2 linked regions of the Bombyx mori genome follow. The protein of the gene in region 2 purifies or fractionates together with the protein of the main gene of each other region. This does not show direct contact. Links are inferred from orthologs where the notes say so. Each region holds a gene or a part of one and is shown on either strand. Other genes may lie near its edges.

The links. The genes of interacting proteins can lie anywhere in the genome.
Region 1: the proteins of ubiquitin conjugation factor E4 A (region 2) and UBX domain-containing protein 4 purify together in Homo sapiens (affinity purification with mass spectrometry; 3 studies listed by BioGRID and IntAct, counting the BioPlex papers as one, with this or other methods). This does not show direct contact. The link is inferred for Bombyx mori from reciprocal best matches to the Homo sapiens genes UBE4A and UBXN4.

Annotation. Positions count from the first base shown.
Region 1 is NC_085108.1:1,311,315-1,316,633, forward strand, and holds the end of UBX domain-containing protein 4, read right to left. Parts: intron 5,273-5,319; coding exon 5,177-5,272; intron 4,398-5,176; coding exon 4,247-4,397; intron 3,721-4,246; coding exon 3,593-3,720; intron 2,415-3,592; coding exon 2,243-2,414; intron 1,922-2,242; coding exon 1,686-1,921; 3' UTR 413-1,685; downstream 1-412. UniProt on the Homo sapiens protein: Involved in endoplasmic reticulum-associated protein degradation (ERAD). Acts as a platform to recruit both UBQLN1 and VCP to the ER during ERAD.
Region 2 is NC_085114.1:9,638,744-9,644,062, forward strand, and holds the end of ubiquitin conjugation factor E4 A, read right to left. Parts: intron 4,551-5,319; coding exon 4,346-4,550; intron 3,294-4,345; coding exon 3,143-3,293; 3' UTR 1,217-3,142; downstream 1-1,216.

The DNA of each region.
Region 1 (5,319 bases), on a different chromosome or scaffold from region 2:
CCAGTTTTACCAGGACAGTTGGGCGAGCAAAGGCTTAGCATGTACATGTCTATGGGCTCCGGCAACCACTCATCATCAGTTAGGCCGTGAGCTCGTTAACACATCTAAGCAAAGCATTTTTTTTTATTGCATTAATGGGTGGACGAGTCCACAGCACACCTGGTGTTAAGTAGTTATATCGGCTGCCCTACCCTTCAAACCGAAACGCATTACTGCTTTACAGCAGAAACAGGCAGGGTAGTGGTACCTACCCGCGCGGACTCAGAAGAGGTCCACCACCAGTACCTAAATAAAGTTTATGACAATTTCGTGATTATTGACCACAAATGACGTCACGCCGTATGCTTCACATAGATTCAACTGACTTAAAAAAAAAACAAGAAATAGTGAATCGAATAAATCAAACAAAAGATTAAACTTTAAGTGTTTTAATAATACATACAACCACAAAGTCGGAAGTGCCTCTAGCTAACAGCAGAATTCACAACTTTAATGCTATAAATTTAAGGTTTACATTTATTTTCATAAAAAAAAAATACTAATCACGACAACCGATAATATGTTGTTGCTCTCAATTCCACAAAACTACAGTAAAATTACAATTTTTTGATTATTTTATTTATTTAAATATGACTTATTATATTATTATGTGATAAATATGATTTCTACAATTATTATTAACATCATTATTATGTTTCGCATAAGGAAAGAAAGAAAGAGAGAAACAAAGATAGAAAGAAAGAAGATATCTTCTCAACATCATTCTCATACCTGCGTGTGAACAACGAACAAACAGACAATTATTTAGAATAGTGATATAAACCTGGTCTGGTCTCCACAACACCATCTTATGATATTAATTAACATTGATAACAATAAATGAACAAATATTTCAGTAAAATATACATTTTAATGTCGATTTAAGAAGAATCCGATCGCGTCATTGCTTAAAATCGCTTTTGCCTTATTTTTCGTATTTTTGAGGGTAGATTTAAAATTTTGATTACCGCGATTTTTATTTTAAAAAAAAAAGCCACAGGGACAGAAAAAGGGATAGCGTTCACTAGAATAAGATCAAGATTGATTTGCCACATTCAAACTTGTATTAGTGGACATCTTTCAGCTGGGCTCCAGTCGAGATTTATCTTTGACAGAATATTAATTACAAAACTAATTGAATGTGGGATCAAAATAAGGGCAGGATTGGTCAGAGGTTGGGCCGGGGGGCGGGCCCCCCTCACCCCCCGTCCATATCAAAACATCGGGTTCAAAAGCATTGATGTTGTATACTTAAATCTTCATATAACACTCAGATGTCAGGGGGGTCGATGACCTGTGAGGACACGCAGTGATGAGGGTAGCAAATATCACCATTGGGGGCAATTAAAAAAAAATTTTGCAACCATATTAACTACTAGATATATGAGGTACAAATATTCAATTCAAATTTCAAAGTTATTACGGCTAATGTTACTGAATTTTCACCTTTATTTCAAAGACAAAAGAAGCTGTTTCACGGGCCCACACAGTCTGAGGCTATCGTAGGTCGAAGGTACCGGAATGATCAGCTTTGATGAGTGAAGGGAGCCATGATGCCGTGGAGATCACGAGCTTCAGACAAACTCTAGGATATGTTTGTGCTCGGGGGACCCTTAGTCCTGAGCACCCTTGGAAGGCGTGGTCGGTTACATCTGCTGCGTTGAGTTACCGTTCCAGGTGTTGTTGTCGTCGCTAGCCCCGGTGTCCCCGGGCAGACGGTGCACGTTCCCCCTCCGGCGCAGGCCGGGGGGCGCCGCGCGGGAGGGAGAGTGGGGATCGGGGGAGCGCGGCGCCGCCGGGGGGAACAGCCTAGATCTGATCCACTGGTAGACCTGCTGGCTCGGCTCCAGCACGAGGGTCGAGAACAGGCTCGAGAAGAATGCTGGGCAAACATTCAACACAGTTGAAAGTTTATTGGTGCTGGGACCTTTTGTGAGTACGCGCGGGTGGGTACCACCACCCTGCCTATTTCTGTCGTGAGGCAGTAATGCGTTTCGGTTTGAAGGGTGGGGCAGCCGTTGTAACTATACTGAGACCTTAGAACTTACATTTCAAGGTGGGTGGCGCATTTAAGTTGTAGATGTCTATGGGCTCCAGTAACCACTTAACACCAGGTGGGCTGTGAGCTCGTCCACCCATCTAAGCAATAAAAAAAAGCGATATAATAATTTTATTGCTTTGGTTCTTTTATTGATGCACTCACCGAGCAGCGAGGCGAAGGAGGAAGTGAGTGCGGGCGCGGGGGGTGCGGCGCGCACGGGCAGCACCAGCACGGCGCCCGACGGGACCAGCCCCTGCGCCGCCAGGGACTCCGCCCCCGCCGTCAGCTCGCGCCGCGGGAACGCCGTCCACAGCGTGAAGCTGGACGGCTGCAGCTGGGGACCAGACGTAGTCCACCTCAACCTTCACGTTCAGACCACACTGGCCACCGTCTCCAGCCGTGCGAGCATCAGGCGCACTCATCGTGACGTGCTCTCCTGCCTTTGTGACTGTCCACCGACCCAGTTTGTTGTCCCTACCTACTCTCTGGTAGCATATGAGGCTATTTCCGCTACGCGCGGGTAGGTGAGCTCACGGGCTCAACCTGAGAGAATTTGCTAAAACTAGCCCGGGAAGGATGATGGAAGAGATGCGCTCCGCACTAAACGCTTCAATTTCCCCCCTTTACCTTTTCTTGAGTTCTGCCTCATTCGGGGTTCTGACGTGGGTTGTTGAGCGATAGACCTTAGTCAGTTCGACTCCGACATGCCCCGCCCTCCATCCCCAGTGAAGGGCGGAAGTCCGGCGATTCCCTCCAGACAAAAAAAAAAAAGAAACACTAGCCCTAGCAAGAGCAGTGCTTCGCAGAATCTACCACTGAGAAATTTAATGGGCTGATTTACTCTGGGTTAATTTACTCATTGAATTCTTCGACGAGGACGGTAACCTGTTCTTGAGGGTCCTAAAAGCGCCGAGAGTGAATCCAGGGGATCCGATAAGACATGTTTCGAGCGTCGGCGGTTTGGCGTTGCCCCGTCGCGGTTCGATAAGTCCGACCGACAATGACCACTCAATCTATCTATATCTATATAAATAAAAATGATGAATTGCAATTCGTTAGTCTCGCTAAAATTCGAAAACGGCTGGATCGATTTGGCTAATTTTGGTGTTGAATTATTTGTGGAGGTCCAGAGAAGGTTTAAAATATAGATAAATATGAAAATGCTCGGAATTGAATATAAATAACAATTTTGTTTTTCCTTTGATGTGTCCTTCGTCGGACGGATTCCTTTTGTTTGTTTACTTTATACAAAAGTTTAGGTCTTTTATTTATCGATTGAGGCACTACGAGGTCTGCTGGGTCACCTAGTTAAAAATAATTTTTAATAGTGTACATGTACATATGTATATATTAGTGTGTTTATCGGTCCCCAAGGACCCCGATCCCCAAGGTCCTCGGTCCCCAAGATCCTCGATCCCCAAGGTCCCCAAAGTCCCCTGTCCCCGGTCCCCTGTCCCTGGTCCCCAGTCCCCAAGGTCCCCGACCCCCAAGGTCGTCCCCCCAGGGGCTCACCTGTGCGCTGCGGCTGACGTGCGCGCGCAGGTCCTCCACGGTGGCGTCGGCCGCGAACTGCGCCGAGTGCGAGGAGCCGTCGGGCAGCTTGAACTGCACGCGCGCCCCCGCGCCGTCCCCCCCTGCTGCTGACAACGGACCAACGTACAGATTGCGGTGCGAAAAATTACAATTTGCGTTATCACTGGTGGTTGGACCTGTCTTGTGTGTCCGCGCGGGTAGGTACCACCACCCCGCCTATTTCTGCCGTGAAGCAGTAATGCGTCTCGGTTTGAAAGGCGGGGCAGCCGTTGTAACTATACTGAAACCTAAGAACTTATATCTCAAGGTGGATGGCGCATTTACAGTACGTATTTACCAGGTGGGCTGTGAGCTCGTCCATCCATCTAAGCAATAAAAAAATATATATATTTATTGCTTAGATAGATGGATGAGCTCACAGTCCATCTGGTGCTAAATGGTTATCGGAGCCCATGGACATCTACAACGTAAATGCCGCTATGGAATGAGCTCCCCTCCACGGTGTTTCCCGAGCGCTGTGACATGTCCTTCTTCAAACGAGGCTTGCGGAGAGTATTAAGCGGTAGGCAGCGGCTTGGCTCTGCCCCTGGCATTGCTGAGGTACATGGGCGACGGTAGTTGTTCAAGACTTACTTCCCGGCAGTTGCGCGGGGGGCGCGGGCTTGGGGTCTGGGGGCGCGGGGGCGAGGTCCCGGGCGCGCCTCTCGGCCCGGTCCTGCGCTATCTGCTGCAGGATCCGCTGCCGGGCGAGCTCGTTTTCAAGCTTCTCCCGTTTCCTCTCTTCCTGTAACGAGACGAGACATTGCATCGGGAATACGAATGGCGGTTTTTTTAATACCGCCAAATCCTTCCAAGTGTTTCTATGAGGTACTCTAGAATGTTTTGAGACAAATTCGTCCCCAAGCCAGCGAAACCGATCCAAATTAATATTATAAATGCGCACGTGTGTTTGTTCACGTCGAAACGAAGTAACTGACTGACATATATATATCTATATATTAATACGCGAAGCAAAAACTTTGCATCCCTTTTTACGAAAATTGCGCAGACGGAGGAGTATGAAATTTTCCACACTTATAGAGAATATAGAGAAGGAGTGCAGCATGCTTATTATTTTTTTAAGTAATGCTAATAATACCTTAAATCAATAAAGAAAACATTACGCACACTACCATGTATTTGACACACACACATATATATACTCTTTGTTTATTGCCAAACTTTAGTTATTGCTCAAAGTCTATGGTCAAATAGAGAATAGGTTAATATTGTTTATCTTCAATATTATTTGTCTATAGTGTAGTCTTGGCGAAATCTGTGATGATAGAAGTACAATAGTCTTTGACAATAAAACCTTAATAATGTTCAAACTTATAATTTCAATTAATTATAGTCGAATTTCGACTACTGCGGGACCACTAGTTTTGTTAAAATGGCAGCTCGAGGTCAGAAGAAAGAAAAAAAGAACATTTGACTCCCACAAGACACGACGTTTTGTTATCACGTGATGTCCATGGGCTCGTAACCCCTTCACGTCGAGCGGGCCGTAAGCTCATTGCATACTTGTATCTGCTTCAGTTCCTGTTCCGCTTGCCACTTCTTGAGTTCCGTGACCCCTTTGCCGGTGGCGCGTCGTTCTATCTCCCTCTGCTTTTCGAGCTAGAAAGAGATGAAGCATTATTATTTAAAAAAAAATTGCGCATTTC
Region 2 (5,319 bases):
ATACTATAAATCCTATTTCTGCAACGCAGATTGGTCGGTGAAGTTAACGCGGTTCTTAATTTATTTATTTTTTCCTACCTGTGCTGATAGCCTTGAGAGGCTATTTCAGCTTCGCCCTAACGTTTGTAGGTGAGCTCACGGGGCTCAAACCTGACGACGATGCTAACATGAACCCTAGCAAGAGTCGTGCTTCGTAGAATCTACCACCGGATCGGAAACGCGACCCACTGAGAAGATCCGACGAGAAACTCAGTGGGCTGTGTCTGAGAGTTAATTTACTCGTCGAGCCCTTTGTCGCAAGCGACGGGTTCGACGAGAACGGTGACCGGTGCTTGAAGTACCTTGAAGTACCGTTAGTGGATCGGGAGGATCCGAGATGACGTGTTTTGGGCGACGTCGACTGCTTTCCATTCTGTCCGCAGGATCGGGAATGTAGTTACCGGCGGTCACGATGAGAGGGTTCTCATGTCGTGCCGCTTTATCGAAGTGGCGCATCGACGCCGACTGCATACACTTACTGGTGGACTCTAAGTCCAGGTCGTCATGGAGGTGTTCTTTCTTCTTTACAGGGTGAAACTCTACAAAACTTGCATACGTATGGTAATTACCTAAGCAAGTGTAGTGTTTGGTCACCGAACCCGCCCTCATATTAACTCTCTTCATGTCATCCAATGAGGAATGTAAATCTTTATGACAACCTCAAAATCGAGACTCGAGCACTAGGTACGTACCTGTGCCCGAAGACAGCATCAGAACGCCTCTTTGAAAAATCGTCGTGATATGATAACCCACTTATGTTGGCCGCCTCTAATAACCCTGCAACCAGGCAACATATAGCCACCGTCGCTCTAAGCATGTCGGTAGTTTTAGGCTCACCAAGCTTCGGTCACCGTTGTTATCGAACTTTGTCGCTGAGTTCCTTAAGCAACCTAGTCACTGGCAAACAAGTCCTAGACACAAGTCACTGAGGAAGCCCCACGAGTTTGCCTTCTAATTCGGAGAAACTGAAATAGCCCTTTGAAGCTACCGGCGTCCAGATACCTAAGCTTTTGTCAAGGCCAGCTTTACCGTCAACGTAAAACACGTGGCTCGCGTGTACATATTGATTTCTCATATATATTTAGAATTAGTAATAACCAACACTACATCGCACCTGCTCTTATTTTGGGGAACGATTAAAAAAAGTTCAAAATACCGATTAAGAAAATAAAAAATGTTATGCATTAAGAAAATTTATTTACACAGTTTCTACACACTGGAAAAAAAAAAAACATAAATAATTTAAATTCTGTCCTTTATCACAAAACAATGTACAGTAAAAAAAAAGATATCATGGATCAACATAACAAAGCTAAAGACTAGTTTCAGTATTGTTATGATGTTTTTTATTTTTATAGTTTTTGTTAATTTATATTTCCAATATTTCAACAGTATAAAATAAAATAAATTATCGATTCTGTTACAGGCGTCTATAATCATTCCTCTCTAGTATATTTTAACACATTAGTAATAGCTGACTATAATAAAAAACAAAAAAAATAGCAAAACTCATAGAATATAAACAGGGTGGAGAGAAAATATTAAATCATTAAAATCATTTGTAATTTTTAAGCAATTGAAACACTCCAAATAAAAAACAAAGAAAATAAACTGGAGTCTGTTTTTATTGTATAATAATTTTCGGATATTTTTCTATTTAAAAATTTAAACCAAGAATAACGCTGGCTAAAAAATATATATATTTATATTTGAAGGAATGTTTTATTAACTAAATATATTCTATAGATGCCACAAAACGGTGGCAAAAGGTCCGAGGTGTTCGACCAAATGCCGAATTTACTATTTGAAAAATCAAACATTTTCATTAAAAACATAAAAACAATCTTATCAACAAATGATATGTAAGAAACGGAAAAGTCTCCCTAAACTTAATATTATGTACTTATCAGAGTTTAAAATAATAACCACAAGTAAATTTTAAACAAATATTTACCATATCCTATGTATGGTACCTGAATAAAAAATAAAAATTGCTTGTATGGGTGGACGAGCTCACAGCTCACCTGGTGTTAAGTGGTTACTGGAGCCCATAGACATCACCAACGTAAACGCCGCCACTCTCCTTGAAATATGAGTTTTAAGGTCTCAGTATAGTTACAATGGCCCCGTCCCTCAAACCGAAACGCATTACTGCTTCACGGCAGAAATAGGCAGGGTGGTTGTACCTACCCGTGCGGACTCACAAGATGTCCTTTCACCAGTAATAAATCACTCTCATTTATTTATTTCAGTTACTTAGTATACAATTTAACAAAATTAAATGTAAAAATATGTTATGGACCAATTGGTATATTTAATTTATTTTTGTAAATAATATCCCTTGTGGTTTATTACAGACGTGGTGTCATGAATTCATAGAAATTTATTTATTCAACATTTTGATATAGTGCGACGTTAAAAGCCCGAATAGTAACACTACAATATAGCTAACAATTAAAAGTAATTTAACGCGTTGAACGTCATGACCGACGCCAAACAAGTAACCCACCACCATCACCAATATCAAGAATCGTCTAAAAAATCGTGGAGGTGAAAAAATTACTCAAAAATAGTGGACGACTTATGGAAACAGTGAGTACCTACTCATTATTTTCCGAGAGATGACAGATGACAGACACTGTGTCTGTCACGAGCCCCCCCTCTTCTCTCCCCCCGACCCGAGTTATTGGCGGTCACAGGATGTCCGCTGCAGTCCACTGGGCTAAAAATGGTTTTCTAGTCTGGTGTTCAACGATTAAATGAAATCGAAACTTTACGAAAGATATGAAGAAAGTACTTTAAAAAAAAAATTACGCTATTTCAAGTATAATGATTTTCTTGTGTCATAGACAACAGCGGAAACAATGCTGTGGTCTCAAGTGAGCAACGAAATCGAACACTTAGGTAATAAAAAGGTTGATTGAAAATTTTAAAGAATCATCTAGAATGAACTAAATGTATTTATTATTATTTATGTACAGTCTCACCATCAGTTAAAAAATTCAGTACTTATTCGACCTGAAATTTCGCTACTATATCTAAAACATATTTATTAATAAATTCTTAAAGTTTTATTAAAATGTACATTTAAAAGAAAACAGCCCTAATTTTTAGTGCTCGTCGATTGTGAACTATTCTTTTTGGCTTCAGCGATCCAGCTGTGTATTCTTTCTTTGAGTTCAGTGTCTGATTTTACTTGATCCATGGAGAGCGGCGACCTGTTGAATGGATCTGACTGATCACTTAAAAGATGCCTGAAAATAATATGGACAATTTTATAACTCTGATCGCTCAAACCGCATTTATGTTAAAGAAAGAATCATTAAAATCGGTTCACCTAGAAAACAAATCAACACATAAAATAACTAGTCGAATAACCTCATCCTTTTTTGAAGTTGGTTAAAAAGGCAGACCGTCCACACGCTTAATATAATGTTCAAATATCTCTTACACGTGCATTCTATGCGATGGGTGTATTGAAATCTCTCCCGAAAACGCAATCTCAAATCAGCCGATTAATAAATTCAAATTTGAAGGGTTGTCAGTAGAGCAGTACTTGTACAGCAGATGTACTTGTTTGTTTCAGGGCAGAAATACGGTGAACAATGGTACCGGTGTGGGCTCAAAATACGCTCATTAATATGTTATCAATACCAATAATAAGTTGTTTGCTTGAAGGGAACATTTTTTTGTTGTTGCTTAGGTGGGTGGACGAGCTCACAGCCCACCTGGTGTTAAGTGGTTACTGGAGCTCATAAACATCTACAGCGTAAATGCGCCACCCATCTTGAGATATGTTTTAAGGTCTCAAGTATAGTTACAACGGCTGCCCCACCCTTCACACCGAAACTCATTACTGCTTCACGGCAGACATAGGCAGGGTGGCCACCCGAGCGGACTCACAAGAGGTCCTACCACTAGTAAAATAAAAAGGGTGCGTGTACTTATACGCGCGAAAGAAGTTATATATATATATATTATTTTTTTTAATATTATGTAATTAATAATAAATATTTAACGTTAATGATTTAATAATATTTAGTATGAATTATATTAAATAATAATTTTGTCATTTATATTACTAAAAAATGAATGCTAATAACACTTTTTTTACGAGTGTACATACCCGAAAGTTCACCTGCGGCTATATTCAGACTCGCCAAGTTACGTCGGTCGTATTGTAATGAGCGACTTAGTGGGCAACTTCATTTCTGTTAATTTTGTGCCCCGGTGCGCGCGCATCGTAAAATTTCACTCTCATCAATTTTTCATAACGCGCCTAAAGAAGTATAACTTCAAAAAATACCTGGCTATTGTCGTCCTGTCGACCGTGGTCCTTGAGCTCGGAAGCACGACGGGGTCCAGCATGATGGTGCTCATGATCGGATCGAGGAACTCGTCTGGAGCGTTCGCGAGTATCTCCTCGTCTCTCTGCTTCTGTTCGGCGAGCAGTCTCACTCGCTCGGCAACCTCCCGCAGTGTGCTTATGAGAAAGCCCCCCCCGATGCGGACTGTTCACATTTTATTTGTTAGTGTAGTATGAAAAAAATGTATCGTTCAGACTTGAGGCTGAAGACTAAATCTTTAGTATGTAAAAAAAGTACTTAAAGTAGTGTATTAATAAACAAAGTAGTAAAAAAATTAAAGCGTTCTTTTTCTTAAACTAAGCTTCTACAGCCACTGTAAAATGGTCATAAATTTACCATAGGTTAGAGAAGAATCGGTACGAAATCAGGCTTTGTTCTTTTTCAGTGTAATACTCATGCGTATACATACGGCGTTTACGTCACTGATTATAAATAAAACATTACGTTACTGGGCACTAACTAAAGATACCAGAGCCAAGCCGCTGCCTACCGATTATTCATCACTGTTCCGACTGGAGCTTAATTCCAAATAGGGCAACGTCACTCAAATAGCAGCTGACCGTATAATACGGCTTTTATAGCATTTATAATAAAAAAATTACCGTGTGACAACCCTAAGAGATTACTGAACCGAACCGAAGAGGGCCGAACCTCACTAAAAACCCCTGCCGCTCACAGCCGGCGCCCTATCCCGAACCGAGCCGCAGCCCAGTCGGGGCCATTGAGGCGGTAGGACAGGGTCGACGCAAAGCATATTACATTTTTACTGGTGGTAGGACCTCTTGTGAGTCCGCGCGGGTAGGTACCACCACCCCGCCTATTTCTGCCGTGAAGCGGTAATGCGTTTCGGTTTGAAGGGTCGGGCAGCTGTTGTAACTAAGCTTGAGACCTTAGAACTCATATCTCAAGGTGG